2 linked regions of the Caenorhabditis elegans genome follow. The protein of the gene in region 1 purifies or fractionates together with the protein of each later gene. This does not show direct contact. Each region holds a gene or a part of one and is shown on either strand. Other genes may lie near its edges.

What was found.
Region 2: the proteins of oac-17 (region 1) and repo-1 fractionate together in Caenorhabditis elegans (co-fractionation; one large-scale study listed by BioGRID). This does not show direct contact.

Annotation. Positions count from the first base shown.
Region 1 is NC_003279.8:13,189,469-13,199,334, forward strand, and holds oac-17 (Acyl_transf_3 domain-containing protein), read right to left. Parts: upstream 5,178-9,866; 5' UTR 5,107-5,177; coding exon 4,970-5,106; intron 4,837-4,969; coding exon 4,572-4,836; intron 4,531-4,571; coding exon 4,392-4,530; exon of another isoform or gene 4,347-4,391; coding exon 4,260-4,346; intron 4,217-4,259; coding exon 3,997-4,216; intron 3,950-3,996; coding exon 3,783-3,949; intron 3,677-3,782; coding exon 3,345-3,676; intron 3,296-3,344; coding exon 3,169-3,295; intron 3,123-3,168; coding exon 2,809-3,122; intron 2,758-2,808; coding exon 2,515-2,757; 3' UTR 2,434-2,514; downstream 1-2,433. Other genes in the region: F17B5.10 (C-type lectin domain-containing protein), read right to left, coding at 324-480, 525-784, 834-1,115; F17B5.8 (Fuz_longin_1 domain-containing protein), read left to right, coding at 1,673-1,804, 2,069-2,320; clec-109 (C-type lectin domain-containing protein), read right to left, coding at 7,750-7,897, 7,954-8,155, 8,199-8,304, 8,381-8,644.
Region 2 is NC_003282.8:12,079,795-12,087,830, reverse strand, and holds repo-1 (Splicing factor 3A subunit 2), read right to left. Parts: upstream 3,354-8,036; coding exon 2,797-3,353; intron 2,715-2,796; coding exon 2,603-2,714; 3' UTR 2,511-2,602; downstream 1-2,510. Other genes in the region: F11A10.6 (Transmembrane protein 115), read left to right, coding at 43-347, 400-583; rbm-34 (RRM domain-containing protein), read right to left, coding at 890-986, 1,271-1,371, 1,422-2,408; lex-1 (Tat-binding homolog 7), read right to left, coding at 3,815-3,953, 4,325-5,279, 5,326-5,472, 5,531-5,616, 5,673-7,743, 7,786-8,003.

The sequences.
Region 1 (9,866 bases):
GCAGTAGAAAAATAAATTGTTCAATTCAAGATTGTGCCAATTTGTAGCAAATTCAGAGAAAAAATGTAACAAACCACAAAAAAACTATTATTAGGTTCTATGTTGGGATTTTCCTCACAGATTTTTTTCAAAGATTGGGTCACAATTGGGTCGCCAATCTGACGACCGGGGTTCGAGTCTATATTTGAACAAAGTTTTCTGTTTTTTTTGTGTACACATACTCTATGTAATTGTACTCTTGACTATTCTTTTATTGAGTCTTGGAACAGTTTGCAGAACTCAAAAAAAAACATAATAACTTTTACCCAAAAAAGTAAGATTAATTAATTATTTCTTAATCCAACTTTTCCACATGCATAGGAGTTGATTGTCTTATACCCACGGCAATACGAGTCATCAATGAATCCATTGGAATTTGGCGGTTTCTGTGAAAGTGTCGCACCAGCTAATGAGTAGATGTATATGCATGGTGGGGAAAAGCTGCAAATTAATTTTTCGTATTTTCTAGTGAAACTTTAACTCACTAGAGATTAGCCGGCTCTCCAGGAGCCCACAACATCCCTTCAGTGCCAACAGTGTTCCAGTCTGTCCAGACACATCCACGAATAGTACAACTCGCGCCGAGCCACGTTCCAGAGTCCGTTTGTCCATTTGCAGTCAATATTTCCATACTTTTATTGGCCATCCAAATGCGTTCTTCATTGCTCTGAATACCGGAAAGAGAACCGCCGAGGTTTGAACACGCCGTCGTAGCTCCATTATAGTCCAGAGTTGCTGCTACTATCTGGAATCAGTACTAGGAATCACGAAAAATTAGTTAGATTAAATCTTACCCGGACACACCAAACTCCTTGCGGTCTGTAAAATGCGTGCCAATCGTCGTCACAAGGCTTTGGCGTTGGGCGAGGTGGCGGACGGTTTCCATGATGTCCCCCATGATGCCCCCCATGATGCTTCTTTCCTCCATAATAACCTTCCTCTGATGATGAGCTACTTGAATCGGAATTGCCCCGATTACTGCCGCCACGTAAGAAAACTGTCGCAATTGGAACTAACAACGAAAAACATGCAATGAGTTTCAAAAAAATGCATGATGAATAAGAAACATTGATCATTATAGTGGATTTATATATTGAGGGGTTTTGCGGAGTTTTATTACGGTAATTATTTCTACAAAATCTTGTAACTGATCAGCGGCAGGGTGGCTCATAATTACGGGGTGCTAGGGGTTTTTCGAGCTCGGCAAATTCTAATATCTGCTACACAGCCCTGATAAGAAAGGGGGAGAGAGAGGGTGCGCGCAGACAACAAGACACGCTAGCTGTCTGCGTCTCCGGGATGTCCCTAATTTGAAACTCTTGTAGCTCCCTCACGCAAAAATTGTTAACTAACAAAGAAATACGAATTTTGCTTTTTTTCCCTATCTTTCAGGAATTATGATAAATTATTTTTATTCCAAAAAAAAGCTCTCAAATAACTAAATTCATTTAACTACAAAATGCGTATTTCCAAAAATTCAAGTTTTCAGTTTCCCCTGCCTAACAAAACACCAAACTAAAAATTATCACCTTATCACTATTGCAATCAAATATTTGTCATTATCATCATTTTCACGGGCATAAAATTGAAAGTTTCTGAATAATTTCTACATTTTTCTCAAAAAATATATATTATGTGCGAAACTGTTCAGGACCTAGAAGACTATATTCAATATCAATTTGATGATATCGCATCGTTTAAGCTCGCGATTTTCTTAAGCTCCGGCGAGATTCAGGTTAAATTCGCTTTGGGACAGGTGGAGCAGGTATGATTTTTTGGAAAATATTTATGAATATTATATTGTTGAGTAAAAATAATATAAGTTCCAATCTGTCTGGAAATTACCGAGCCATTTATATTTTGGATTAGATAAATCTAATCATCTTGGAAAATATTTAAAAAAAATCACAATTTTTCTTTGAAATTTTAATCAGAAACTCACCACTTTTGTAGTTCAGTGGTACTGTAATTCTGAAATTAATTTAAAACAAAAATCTGTATTTTAAAATCTATATTTCAATTTTTACAGAACCTTATTACTTCTCTAACATCAATATCAACTTCTGCCGACAAATTCTCTATTGGAGATATCGATTTTCTAAGGGCAACACCTGTAAACTCAAACATCGTCTCAAAGTTTGCAGCTACCAATGAATCATCAACGCCACGTATCTTTGTTACGGAGAAAAATAATAATTTGTTCATAGTTTATTGTTGTGGAACAACTTGTGATAAGGATGAGCCACGGGTGCAGATGCTCATGGAGAATTTGATGATTTGATTGGAATAAGGATTTTTTATTTTCGTTATTTAAAATGATAGTGGGAAAATGACTACTAACAAGTGGTTGGAAGAATATTTTGGAAAATTTAAGTAGAACATTTTTTTGTTAGCTAAATAAAAATGTTTATTTTAGACATTTCCTGTATTACCCGAAAAATTAAAGCTCTGATAAAAATTTCAGCATTCTAAGATTTACAAATTATTACAAATGTCCGTCCAAACATGTCTAACATGTTCTAAACCATGCGGTGAAAGGTGGTTCTCCTCAGTCAGGTACGAGAAGCCTTTGTCGTCAAAAAACCGGAATGTTCTAGTGGAATTATTGTAGAATTCTGGGAGATAATCGACGAGCGCACATTTTCCCTGACAATCTTTAAGGAGTTGTGCGTGACGAGTCCGAGCTGCTTCATAATCAATAAAGTCATTCAGGAGGGTCTGTAAAATAAAAGTATCAGTTCAATTTCAGAAATTCACTAAAAAACATACATCAATTTCGGCTAAATCTTTGCCTTCTTTCACCAACGGTGCTATTCTCGATACCGTTTCCCTGTGTACTCGAGGTATGGCATCCAGGATGTACAGTTTATATTTGATATTTGAAATAAAACCAAGCATCTTCTTTTTCATAATTAGGTAGATTGGATCTTCCTCAATAGTTTTTTGAATTGGATGTCCTATATTCATAAATCTCGTGAACAAAAACGCATAGTCCGGCTGCTCATTCTTGATTTGCTGCTCAAAAAGCGTAGAGGCTGGCTCACAGTTTTTGCTAATCTCAAATGGATAAAGAGGTTCACATCCTAAAATTGATGACATGTAGGGTAAAGAATTTAAATTTAAATTTACCAAATGAACATCCTTGCAAGATACTCTTTGTCTTGGCGTGGCATTCTTGATAGAACAACGTGGCATGATTATCCGCCCAGCTATTGCCAAATATGACCATTTTATACTTGCCGGAGTCTTGAAGGCCCTGAAATATAGTGTAGTACTGTAGTTCACATAACGAAAATTTTGCCTACCGTATGCCTGCACCACCTCTCTGAGTTTTTCGTTCCTGCATACTTGCAAGTTGGCGTGTAAAAGTTCACATAATCTCTCACTGTCCACTGGTAATTCAATCGAATCGCGTCGTCCACTGTCATGTTACTGGTTACAATATCTCTATTTGAGTTGGTCCTCAAGTGTACGCGATCCAAGATATCGTCCTTGTTAATCACAATCACATTTAGGAGGAATAAGGTGACAACTAAGACCCCAATATTTGTTAAAGACAGGTGAAGGTACCACTTTTCGAATCCTTCGAAGGAAATGACAGCAAGAATGCAGGAAGCAGCCAAGGCAACAATTAGTACTGAAAGTCAAATAGAATTGCAGTTGTAAGTATTAGTCGTTCTGTTATATGCTTCAACAGAACACCATATAACCATATAAATCAAAATTCCCACTTCCCAACTCACAATACGAATCACCCCCGTAGGTAAGCTTCCAGTATGCATAAATTGGCCAATGAATGAGATAAAGTGAATATGAGATGTCACCGATATAAGTTAAAACTCTATTGGATAGAAATTGATTTCCACTGGAGATAAGCATCAATAGCCCTGTCCCAATTGTGATGAGTGGTCTGAAACATATATAAATTTTTATAACGAATCCCTATAATAAAGGTACCTTCCAAAATCTGAACTTAGCGAAAATGGACAGGTAGTTATAAAAACCAGTGTAAGAATTAGGATATAACTTGAAGTTTTCTCAATGATATCTTTGCTCACATTGGTGGGATTCCGCTCTACATCTTGAGATTCTTCATCACTTAGTAGTGGTTCTTTATCGCCTACTGATGAGCTTTCACTTGAGATTTTAGCTTGCGAAGCTCCGTAGACTAGCATACCTGAAATTTTATATGAAACTCTGTAACCAACAGTCGTTAGAACCTATCAAAAACTGCCAAATCCTAGCAAACACACTGTTAAACGCCACAGTAGCTGGGGAGGAATAGTAATAGCCAATTGAGAATAATCCTGAAATTTGAGCATAAAAGTGAAGTCCAGAAGCTCAAATCTCACCTATGACTCCATAATATCCATATTGAAGCTTCTGGGGTATCTTGTTTCCGATTATGTAGATGGAGGGAACAATAAGGTAGAATTGAATCTCTACGGATAGGGACCAGGTATGGGTGAAAATGTTCACGGCGATGGCGAGCTGAAGTGAGGAGTTTTTGATGATCAACAAATAATAAAAACCATTTCAAAATAGTCCTCTTCAATAGTCATTGGTTTATTGGACACGAAAAGCAATGACATAACTGCGGAAGACCTGTTGGTTTCAATAGCGGTAGCCGGAAAGAAGTTATAGAGAAAAATCATAGAGATCAGGATGATGAGGAGATAAAGCGGAAGTATTCGCTTGAATCTTTTGGAATAGAACAAGGTAATCAGAGAGAATGGGGACTGGTCTTCAGCTCGTTTGAGCAGCATGCACATGAGAAAGCCGGAGAGCACGAAGAATCTGGAAAGTGAAATGATTACTTGTAACAGCTTTTTGTAAGATCAAAAGGATCTTCAGGTTGCTTCAGTTTTAGATTCTAGAAATGTGTCAGACGAAACAGTCAAACCCAAGTTTTAGACTCAGTGGAACTTACTGATCAACTCCGAGATATCCATTCGGAAATGTACCGGGCAAGAAATGAAATCCAAGTACTGATAAAATAGCGAGCCCTCGAATTCCTTGAAGATCCTGCCGTTTTGAAGGTTTTGGTTTGAACTTTTGTAGGTCCATTAGCAATACCACCTCAATATTGTCGATTCTTCAATTTTCAAATGTAATCCAAAACCCGATAAAAACGAGAAGAAAGATCTTTAGAATGCATAGGACACCCACAAACTACGAAAAATACGTAATGACGAACAAAACAAGCTGGCATCTAGATTAGCTTATCCCTGAAAATCAGGAAAAAAAATAAAATCGGGAAAAAAGCTCTAAGAGGGTATTTGCTATAGGATTACAGTAGGCAGGAGTACTAACGAAGAAAGTTCAGTTTTGTTGGAGAAGCCTGATCGGAGTGGGAATATTGAGGTACCCAGCGAAAAATTTTGAGTTTCCGAGATTCATGAGATCCGGTTTATTGCTAATCGCTCTTTTTCATCTAGTTCGAAAAATTAAAAGACCAATTCTGAGATTTTTGAGGAAATCCTACAGTACGCCCAACTTCTGTGCGATTTAGGAAGTTTCTGAACTTTTCCAGGTTAAAAATTTGGAGCAAGAGAGCAAAAAAAATCTACCGCCTAACTTTTTGTCAAATATTATCATTAAAATGCTGGTTTTTTTTCCAAAAAATTGGAAAATTTCAGGTGGTCCAATAGCAGTTGAGTAATTGTTTTTTTTTGAGCTGAAACCGATACCAATATCGGAGTTTCCTGAAAAGTTTATAAATATCATAAACTTCTCAAACGAAGGTTCTATAGCAGTTGGGCGCCTCCGGTTTTTTGTCCCCAGCGATACAGCAAAAAAAACCAATACCAGCAACTTCTCTGCAAATATTCCTAATTACCACAACGGTGTCATTGCTTTATCGGAACATTTCCAAGCTAGAAACCTGAACAGGACATTTTTCAAAATCGTCAGTTAGAAACTGAGATAGCATCAGACCTCCATCATGTTATGGAAATTTTCTGCTTGATGCCCTGAACTTTTGAGAAAAATTGGAAACGGTTTTGCGGTAGGCACCCTTTTATTTAACAATTTCATGTACATGTCTTGCGCAAACTTATCTGTTTTATTTGATTATTAATATTGAAGTTTTATGAATGATTTTCAGATACAGTATATTTAAGAATTCGAATAAATTTCCCTTTAAAAGTTGTAGTTAGAAAGCTGGCACAGATAAGACAGGCAGGTGAGACGCCTATATGAAAACCTGATGCGGCAAATTTCTTTGGTTCATCTAATTCATAAAAATAAATCAAAAATCACTTGAGAAGATTCCTTAAGTAGAATTAATGCTAAAAGTTAACAAATCTGTAGAAGAAGGTTCAAACGAAACATATAAAGAAATAAATCGCCTTCAAACTATGAATAAAATCCATAAAAATCGAATGGCAAAGCTGGACGGTGTTTTCCTATCTCGAAAATCAAAAACTCTTTAAAAAATTGCGACTAGTGTTTCAGGCATGACAAGATGATCCGATTAGAGAAGACACGGCTGGAAAAATGTTGGTTTACCATTTTGAACTAAGGATATTTAGCTTCAAGCTGGTAGAGTCTATTTTGGAATTCCGGTTTATTCCCGGTTAAGACAAAGGAAATTATAAGATCAATGATCTTTGAGATTCACGCTGTGCGGGTAGCTCAAGTGTATTTTTAGTGAAAAACTCACACCTTTACTGACATGGCTCGGATTTGTGCACAACTGGGCACAAAATGAAAGGAGCTTAAAGATTTCAAAGTCAAAAATTTTCACAGAAAACCGCCCCATCCACTAATGCAGGAGGAATAACTCAGCCGTAAAGCTACAACTGTTCAGTTTTTCAGGATTTTACTATGAATTAAGTAAAAAATATATAAGAAAAAACACAAAAAAAAAATTTTTCAGGACACTGTTATTAAAAAAAAAAATTTAGATAGTCATCTCCGTAACGCTTCCAACTAGGCACGATGTTGCAATTTTCTCCTAGAATGTTGCGGTTGGGTGGAAAATGATCAAACACCATTGGGTTAATGGAAAAAAGAGATAAAAGGAAGTACATTGAGAAAAATCGCACAGCTATTACGGGGAGCAATACTTCGAAACTTACAAACCAAATAACTTCCGGATAAATAAAAATAACTAAAAACACAAATTGGTGTTTCAAAAAAGTATTGACTCGATAGCTGAAACCTTTTAAGTTCTAAAGCCGAATCCACAGCATGATGCATCACACAGGCCCTAAAGCTCTCAACTCGGAAACATAGTACATCAACCCATTCACTTCTAAATGTGGAATCTTACACTATTTTAAACAAGGTACGTTCATCAAAACCTGCAAATTCCAAAAACAGAAGGCAGTCATCGTCAGGGCCAGTAACTCCAAGATATGGGTGCAATGACCGGGAGCTTACAGATTTTGAGGCATGGTTTTGGACACATAGTCCTCATAGTATTTCAGTTTTTCTCAGCAAATTCTACTTGAATTTCTGGGAGTCGCATGTTTCGTTCCGTCTCATATCTTCATTTTAATCTCACCGACGATTTCCTGGCGAAGAACATCTATTGGATACGCGATTTACAAAAATCAGGCAACATAGAGAAAGGTATCCTGCATGGCCACCAAAATAAAAATCATTTTCCATATATTTTCGGTCAATGGCGCCTAAATTTTACTTATTATTAACCATTTAAACAATAACAGTGGAAAACTTTAATTTAGAAAAACATAATTTAAGTTAGCTCGGCAACTTTCCACAGACGTATGCTTTAACCCATGTTGCTTGACAAAACTCATCATCCACTGATTCATGAACAAAGTCTGCGAATCCTAGCTCGGTATTCGAATATGGAGTGACAATCATATGCAAACATTGTTGAACTCCTCTGAAGATTTGGTTATTGAATGCCGTGTCCAACATCCCAACAGAAGTTTCACTAACCCGTATTGTGGTAAATAATAACCGTCGAGTTCCCGAGGGCCAGTTGAGAATCCAGCAGTACCCGTCGTATGCCCATCTGTCCACTCGATACTGTCCAGTCGGGCACATGAGGTACCGGTTGGGCAGCGAGCTCTTCTTTTTCCGCCGAGCCATGCTGTGTACCTTCCACCACCGTGCTGGTATATCAAACCACGGAGGACATCTTCAGGATCAGAAAGAGTTTGCTTATATAATTCTGAGCTTACAAGAAATAGTCATCCTTTCATTGGCATTCTGAAGCCCTGAGAGTCTTGCTCCGACTGCGTTGCACTTTGCCTCGGCCTCTGGTTGGAACATGTTTCCGTAGAACGCCTGTAAAATTTAATTTGCGGTATAAACCAGATTTGTGAATGTTCAAGTCATACGGTAAATCTATAATTTAAACTACCTTCATACACCATCTGCCTTGAGGCCTCTCAAAAGTGATCCAATCTCTCGGACAGGTACGAGTTGGGCGTGAACGTGAACTGTGAGTGAGGCGTGAATTTTTATGCCTACGTTTACTTCGTTCTTCAGAAGAACTCGAAGAATAAGAAGACGAAGAACCAACGTGTTTAATAATTTTTATTACTTTTCTAGGATTTTCATTTCTAAAATTTCCCAAAGTAATAGTAACCCAAATGATCAATAATAGGAGGTGTAAGGGTTTCATGATCATGAGCTTTTGAGTTTCATGATTTTTGAATGTTCTACCTTTGTTTAGTTTAAGTTTATGTTCACACGTTTTACTACAATAAACCCTGAGAACAAACCTTCATACACCATCTTCCCTGTGGTCTTTCATGATTGTCATCGTTGTAAATTCGCTCTTCTGATGAGGATGAAAATGAACTGTACTTCCGGTAGTTATTTTCATCATTGAAAATAATTGCGGAAACTGCACAGAGTGAAAGTAAAAGTGTTAGACGTCGCATGTAAGAAATTTTTGTGCGGGCTACCGAAGGTTTATGATTTCCGATGCGGAGTCAAAATTTTATTGCATAGTATGAAACCGATAAAGTGAAGCAAAAGAAAATATTAAAGTTCAACAAGATGTTTGATTTTTATTTATTTATTTATTTTGATACGATTAGTTAATCATGTAAGAAATTAAATACCAATAGAACACATACACATAATCAAATTAAGCAATCAATATAAAAAGAAACATAGTCATAAGAAATACATAATAATCAATTGACATGTAAAGTGTATAATTATCACCTGAAATTGAGATTAGTAGAGAGACAATGCAAGAAAACATATGAAGAGGGTAAAGAATTTTTAACTTGGATCTGAAAAAAAAAACTTCTGTCAGAATTCGAAGTTACTACTTTCACAAGCCATTCCTAAATTCAGCTTATAAATTCTTCCAGGCAACACACAACAAAAATATTGGTTGGAGGTTATAAAACTTTGAACAAAGTACAAATGTGAAACGGGTTTTACTTTTATGGGGTATTCTAATGGTTAAAAAATAAAAATAATAAATATGTCAGCTTGATAAAATCGAAAGCTGAGTGAAAATCAAGTACGGATTTTGTACCGCTAATAAATAAATGATAATATATTCATTTACATATAGATAATCATTTTCTAATTACTTATCATTTTTCTAACGCTTTAAACAAACGGGTTGTGTAAAAACACACTCTACATAAAACTCATTTTGTCTTTCCAAGAATTGGTAAAATATTGTTCCTGCGAGCCTAATATATTATGTACTTGAACATCTGAAAAATCAACAGAACCGCTCAAATTTATTGTTGGTTTCCTGTTTCTAAACGCTCATAACAAGTAGATCAAGATAAAACCATTGTTCCTCAGTTTCATCAAAACTTTGCTTGCAAATCTGGTTCGGCCATCAATATCCTTCACGACAGTCTTTTCTTGGT
Region 2 (8,036 bases), on another chromosome or scaffold:
TCTATAAAATCAAATGGAATAATTTAATTTTTCTTGATTTAGGTGTCATTTCTCCAAATCACCATCGGTGTTCAAGTTTCTTGGACCTATCTTCGCTTCTACAAACCCCATGAAACTGACGAAATCTATGGAGACGGCAGTGAGCACTTCACGTGGGCCAGCCTCTTCCCGTCTCGCACTCAACTCTTCTTCACTCTCATTGGAAAAGTTTGCTTCAGAACCCTTGCTCGAATGGGCGTCTGCAAACGACAAGTTCGTCATGTTGATCTTCACTCTCTACAATCAGGATCCGTTGGAATCAACTTGCCTGCGCTGGAGAATTCTGCAAAAGACTCGGAGAGACGGAGGTAAATATTTGATTTCTTTGATTTGTTCCAGTTAAAATGCTAATTTTTTCAGACAAAAAGCATTGAAAGAGTTGAACGATCGATTGAACAAGACTCGAACAGCAGAAGTTGCCAGCTACGGAAACTGGGACGATGGTGACGATGATGAGCCGACTGAGGTTACTGTAGTTGCTCCGCCCCCTGTATCAAATGTACATTCTTCAAAACCAGCCATGGACAAAGAATCAATGGCATAAATAGATTTTTGGGTTCCTTTTTTATTAACATTCATTAATTATGTATTTCTTGGATCTCTAGTTTCGACTACTCTCGTTTATGTTTTCTTTCGCTTCATTTTGCTTCCTTGTTCTTCATGGGTGTTTTTCATTTATTGCCTTCTTCCCTCTCTGTGAGTAATTTTTGCATTTATTGTATTTTTCTCTGTGATAGTTTTTTGTTTGATGAATAAAATATTAGATTTAAAAAACTGTTTTTATAGTGATAAAAATAACAAAACAAAACAAATCAACAAAGTTATAGATGAAAACAAAATATTCAAAAACCTATGCCATCAGACGTCCCTTCTTTGCAGCCTTCTTCTTTGCAATGGCTTTCTTCGCTGACTTCTTCAAGGCACGACGATCATTTTGCTCAGTTGTTCTGAAAAGAAAAACAAAATTATCCGGTGACCAACGGAGTGCTAGTTCAATTAAATTACACGCACACGGAGGGCCCACGCTCATATAGCACTACAAGTACCGCAGACGGTAAAGTTCCGAAAGCAGGTTGCAGTCGTGCAAGCAGTGGGGGTCGAACTCGTGGGCGCCGACCTCGAGTACAAACGCACACCCAACTGCGCTACGCTGAACGATTTAAATAGAGAAGAACCGGGCAATGACATTGCGCGCGCGGGCCCTTTGACAAAATGCCACATATTTACAAACCTTTCTTTTTTGGTGGAGAACTTGAACTTGTGCAATTTTCCAGTAATTTCATTCTGGTTCTTCTTTCCGTGAGATGTTCGCTTTTTAGCAGTTTGGATCTTCTGAAAAACAAATTATAAATTGAAGAACTATTCGAAGAAAAAAAACAAACCGTCAAATGTCCCTTCTTCATAACTTTTGTAATGCGCAAGTCGCGTTTTTCCATTTTGATAGTCTCCATGCTCAATGCAAGACTCACAGAAGAATCTTGTTTGAAATTGACAAACGCGAATCCTTTTCCCTTTCCAGTATCTTTATCTCTGACAATTCTGACAGCCTCGACAGGTCCGATTTGTGCAGAGAAAAAAGTAATGAGAGCATCTTCGGTAATCTCGAACGGCAAGTTTCCAACAAAAATGGCCATATCCTTTCCAAATTCTTTCTTCTTACTTCCAACTTTGTCAACACGAATCACATGATCGTCCAGCTTGGTTCCATTGTACTTCAGAGCTTTCTCCACTGATTCTTCTGCTCCGAATTTCACATAGAACGTGAGAGAACTCTGTTTGTCATTCAATTTTCCTGTCAAATGAGTGACTCGTTTCGTCAATTTCTCATTCGCAGGAAGCAGATTTCTCATACGGACAGAGGAAATAGTTCCAAAGTCGGAGAAAATTCGACGGACTGATTTCTCGTTCATTGTCAATGGCATATTTCCAACAAAAACAGTCAGAGCATTTTCAGCAGCTGAAGCACGTGCATTTGACTTTTGAAGAGTTCTATTCTCTCTTTGCTTCGTTCTGTCTCGCTTTCCTTCCTTATTTTCATCTTTTTTCTCTTCTCCTTCTGTTTCAGGTGCAACTTCTTCAGCAGCAGCAGCAGCATCAGCTGCCTTCTCTTCTTCAGCCTTTTTTTTTGGATCATACTTTCTTCTTTTAGGTTTTTCAATTACTTTATCTCCCTTCACAACTTCCTCTTGTACTGCTGCTCCTTCTGACGACTTTCCGAAGAGACTTGATAATCCACCAGCCTGATAATTATCAGGTTCAGAGACTGGAAGACTTGGTTTCTGCTTCTTGATTTTCTTCGGAGCTTCTGCAACGGCTTCTGCGTCAGCGGACACTGCTTCAGCTTTTCTTTTGACAACCTTCTTCGCCATCTGAAACTGATTTTTTAAACTATGAAAACTATAATTTTAATTGAATAGACATTGTAGACGGATCAGTCAACCTATACTTGATTTAAATAAAATATCATCATTAAAAAAAAGGAAAATAATTTATTGTTAGATCATCGAAAAACACGAAAAAATTGTTTTGAATTTTGAAATCAAAAAGATAAAAACATAGAGTATCAATAGTACGGCTGATCATCGAGTCGTTCCAATTTGAATGCGACTTGTAAGAAGAATTGCTTCGTGTCTTTGTTCCACATCGTCCAAAATTTTTCAGATTTGTCAACTTCTCTGGAAAAAATTACTTGGTATATACAATTTTTTTAATCGTAACTATGAGATAGAAAAGTGCTAAAATGTTGTAAAGCCTCACCTTGATGGAATTTTGAATCCAATCGTTTCATACGGCTCAGCAGCAAACAAGAGGTATTGCCATCTCTTGTCTGGAGGCTGAATCTTTTGCTCATAAGCAGACATAAATCGATGACGTGGCGCAATACCGTCAGCAATCTCCGGATAATCAATTTGGAAGAGAAGTGCTTGCTGGCCAGCTCCTGGATCACGTTCTTTTGTTACCTTGTATCCAGGACGTCCGATTTTCACAAACTTTTTAGTTTCAACTGCAGCTTTCTGTGGAGCTGGTAGAAATGGTTGTTCAGATTGTTCTTTAGCGGCACGCCGTGCAAGATTCGCTTGATGCTTCTTTCCTTGTGTATGTGCCAAATAAGATCCTTCATTGTTGTGAAGAGTAAGACACAGCTTGCATTCGTACGTTCCAATGTGATTTCGCATGAAATACGGATCCTTTTGAAGATCAATTGTCTCTAGAGCCAACTGGCGGAGCCGTTCCCGTCGATCAACACCAGCATCGGCGGCCGAAGCCACTCCTCCGCTTCCCGTTTTTCCTCCAGCTCTGTTCTGAAAGTCCATCTGAAAGAAAAAGTTTAGATGATTGAATATATTATAAATTTAAAATAAAATCGAAAATATATAAATATCCGAAGTTAAACGGATCATTAAAACAAAAATAGGTATTAGCATTAAACATCGAATGATTCACAATTTACTCATTTTCGAAAGACCAGGTTAAAGATAATGGAAAAGATTAATGAAATAATAGAAGGGCACGTGAATACACCCGAGAGGCAGGCAATGCTCACTCGAATAAATTGGAGGGGAATTAATTATGGTAGAGATTTAATTTGAATAAAAATGGACAAAGAAAAATAGGTGAGTATCACGGTAGCCGCACTTATTTTGAAAGTTTTCTTTCGCACAAAGGGGTTTTTGACAAGAGGAAAACTGGTGGAAATTATGATAAAACGGATTTCAGTTTGAAATTATAAAATCGATAAACGGAGGTAGATTGGAAGAGGAGGATGGGACATCATTTAGTGTCCATTGGCAAGATTTCCATTCGATTTGTTGAGGGTTCCATTAACAATTGTATTGTTCGAATCGTCAGCTGTTTGCCATTCACGTACAATTTGGGTAAGTTGGGCTGGTAGATTTTCGCGGTTCCATTCGTCCCTGAATAATATTTAATTGTTAAAAATAAATATTGTTTATTTTATTCTACATTGTGACTACAATTTTTTCGGGATTTTTCAGAGAATATCGAAAATATCAAAATAGGAAAATCACGGAAAAGCCGAAGAAATGTACAGAAAATTACGAGCATTTTTTCAATTGAATTGAAATTTTTTCAATTAACCGGAAATTATTGAAAATTTCAATTTTTTTTCAAAATAACGAAATTATCAATTTTTGAAATTTTCAAAAATATAAACAACCTTCATAATAAATGTTTTCTATGTTTTAAAACGTTCCAAAAATCCTTAACATTTCCTTTTAGTTCAAACAAAAAGAACAGCGAGGTAATAAAAAATCATATAACTCACCGGAATCGTTCAATTGTATGTGATAGAACAGAAGACAAACGTTCCAACTCGCTGACTGACCAACCCTCCGACTTTTCGACACAACACTGAATCAGCTCGCATGTTGCTGGCTTCGAAACTATCAATTCTTTCTCAGCAATCGAAATTTGCACGGAAGGTGTAGAATCTTTAGAAGCATCTTTCATCTCGATATCATGTTCACTGTTTGGAGTTTCCTGATTTTTCTTGATTTCAAGATTTTCTACAATTGTATCTTCTCCTGCGTCTTCAACTGTACTATCTTCATCGTGCTCTTCAGATTCGCCGGTTTTGCTTTTCTTTTGACCCTTCTTCTTTTTGAGCAATTTCTTTTTATTTCCAGCAGAAGCTGGAACTCCATCAGTTGATGTGCTCGTTCCTTCTTCACTTTTCATATCTTCTACAGGGACAACAACGAGTTCCAATGTTGGAGCAGCTACACCAAGCTTGCTCAACATTTTTTGATTTTCAGCTTCACGCTCTGATGTCCATTGCTCAATTTCTTTTGCAAGTGAATTGGTCATAGACCACGCCTTTTTTCGGGCAAAACCTTTGGGAATTTCTGTGAGTAATTTATCAGAGGTTGGAGTTACTCCAGCGTCTTGTAGCATTCGTGAAACTGTTTCAATTCGTTCGACAAACGATTCGTCAAGTTCACACTCGATCAGATCATCAATTGCATCTCGAAGTGTATTTGCCATTTGACGAATCAGTTTTCCGTCTTTTGTTGTCGACGGATTATATTCGAGAGCATTCGTTTGAATCAATATCAAGTCAGCAACAAATTTGTCCGCATGATTATATTCGCAATTATTCAGCTTTTCCATAATATCCTGCATACAAATCGGTGTTTCGATAATCTCATAATAGTCCTCAGCCTCATCCGGATCCACGGGCTCGACAAATTCAACGAATCGACGATCTCGCATAAGACGTGCTGAAAATATTCAATGAGGTTGAGCATGCGGAATATTAAAACTCACTGAGCCTCTCTTTGAAGAATAATCTCATTTGTCGCTGCAAAGCAGTGTACATCTTCAAAAGTTCTCTTGTCTCGTCATCATTGAGCTTTCTAGAAGGCTTCGAATCGGGAGAATCGTCATCTGGTAGAGGCATCTCATAGACTGTTGCTGAAATATGGACAAAGGATTTAAAATTTTTAAAAAATTGTATTTCGTTGAGACTTACGATCAAATACTTTTGGTGGAGTGTTAATCTTCTCAATAACGTGCTCGAAATATTTTTGACGAATTGTTCGGCGGGAAGGATTCAAACTGAAAATTATTATATTTTAAAAATGTTCTGAAAACACATTTCTAGTTATACTCACGTGATACAGTTTGCATGTCTGAAAATTTCCGTGACATATTCAGGCGCATCTTCAAACGAAGTGTCAAGCGTCGATAGGAAAAGAATCGGCGTGAAACCAGTCATTGATTCCAGACATGTGATAAGCATATGTTGAACTGATACAGGAATGACTTTAATCCATTCATCGATTGATGGAAGAAGCATGATACATGGGCCGGTTGCTGATGCACGCATTGCCGACTGAATTGCATTTGAAAATGCTTCTTCTGGACGTCCATCTGTTAAAAGACTTGAAACAGAAAGAGAGAACACCGGTAGATGATCCAGTTTTGCTAGAATGGCGGGAAGAACGTAAGACGTTTGTCCACCGTCCGCGAGTTGCTCAGATCCACATAGAAGAAGACGAATAGCAGGCACGGTTGGATTAGGTTCCAATGCCCTAACAACTTGTTCCAGTTCGCTTGAAGCTGTCGCCATTGCATTTTCCACGCATCGATATCCTTGTGGAATTCTCAACGAAATCAAGTTGCTCACAGTATCTCCAAGTAAAATTGAAGTTCGTTCATCCAATGGTCTCGATGGAATTGTAAGATCTCGTCTGGAAGCAGGTGTGATCCTCCGCATTGCATGTCCAAAATGCTCAGAAGTGATTTTAATGGTGGCAACGTCGAGTTTCAGCCTTTCAGAACACATGTAGATATGAGGATATCGAGATCTCAATCCAATAAGAACTGCTTCTGTGCACAAGAATTTCAAATCGGCACCGCAATATCCACTAGTTCTCTCTGCAATAGCATCGAGTGTTTCCGGAATCGGTTTGTTTTCCTCCCATTTGGAAGTGTGAATATCTAAAATTTGTCGTCGGGCATTCAAATCAGGAAGGGAAAAACGGAGTTCCCTATCAAAACGTCCTGGTCTTCGTAGAGCTGGATCAAGAGTATCTAATCGATTTGTAGCTCCAATTACAACAACTTCTCCTCGACCATCTAATCCGTCCATCAGTGCTAACAATGTACTCACTATGCTCGCATGAATTTGATCTTGTTTCGAAGAACGAACTGGAGCTAAACCATCGATTTCATCAAAAAAGATAATTGATGGACGCATGGCATATGCTTGATCAAACAATAGTCGAAGTTGTCTTTCAGACTCTCCGACCCATTTACTCAAACAATCAGCTCCTTTTCGCATAAAGAATGCAACTTTGTTGGCTCCTCTTCGGCATTCATTCGCAAGAGCACGTGCAACAAGAGTTTTTCCGGTTCCTGGGGGCCCATAGAATACGACACCTTTTGGCGGATTTATTCTGAACTTTTCAAATACTTCAGGATAAAGCATTGGGAAAAGGACAACTTCTTTGAGAGATTGAATATGATGACCGAGTCCTCCAACTTGATCGAAACCAACCGACGAATCAACACTCATTGGATCAATGTCACTTGCACCTTGACCAGCATCAGTTTTTCTCATTCGATCCATCAGAATGTGTTGGGCAGACTGCAATTCTTTTTCGGTCATATTGATCGGCATAAATCGACCACGTTCACGTTCTCCACGGTTATGCATATGAGGCCTCGATTGACGTTTATCAGGTCTCGGAAGCACCATATCATCACTATCAGAATCCGAATCGCTTCGTCTTCGACGAGATCCATTTCGATTGCGGTGATGTCTGTTTTGATTTGCAACCCGATGATGTTCAAGACGAGCCCGTCGATTTTCACGAGCTTCTGATGCATTGAACTGGACAACTGGTTGACGGCGGCGAAGACTGTATTGACGTGGAGCAGTTGATTCCTCTGAACTTTCTGCATTGCTGCTATCATCCTCTTCTTCTTCTGGATCTTTTTCACCGCTTTGCTCATCTTCTTCAGCGCCTTCCTCCTCTTCTTCCCTTCCAATTTTCTCAATCAAGTCCTCATTTTCTTGTTCAGCCATTCCATCAATTTCAGCAATTGGTAGCACAATCTCGCCACCTCCTTCCATTGGCAACGGATCATCTGCTGCTAGATTTTCCTCTGGTTGCTCACTTCCAAGGCGCTTGGCGGCTTTGCGAGTCCTGCGAACCGGCGACTCTTCCTGTTCTGAAACTGAAATTCGCTTATATTTTTGAAATTATGCGATTCGTGTACCTCCAAGTTCTTCGTGCATTGATGAACGTCTTCTGGTGCTACGTCGAGTTGCACGCTCGGGGACTGTGTTCTCAACGTGCGCCGCTTCAGCAAAATCTTCCTCTTCCTCGTCAGACAAATATATCCGCTTTCGTTTTGCAGGCGGCACTTTTTGATTTCGCTTGGATTCATCTATCGCCTGCATTACTTGTTGTCTGTATGTCATCGAATTCGAGCTTCTAAATTTTAACAATTATAATATTTTTTGTCAA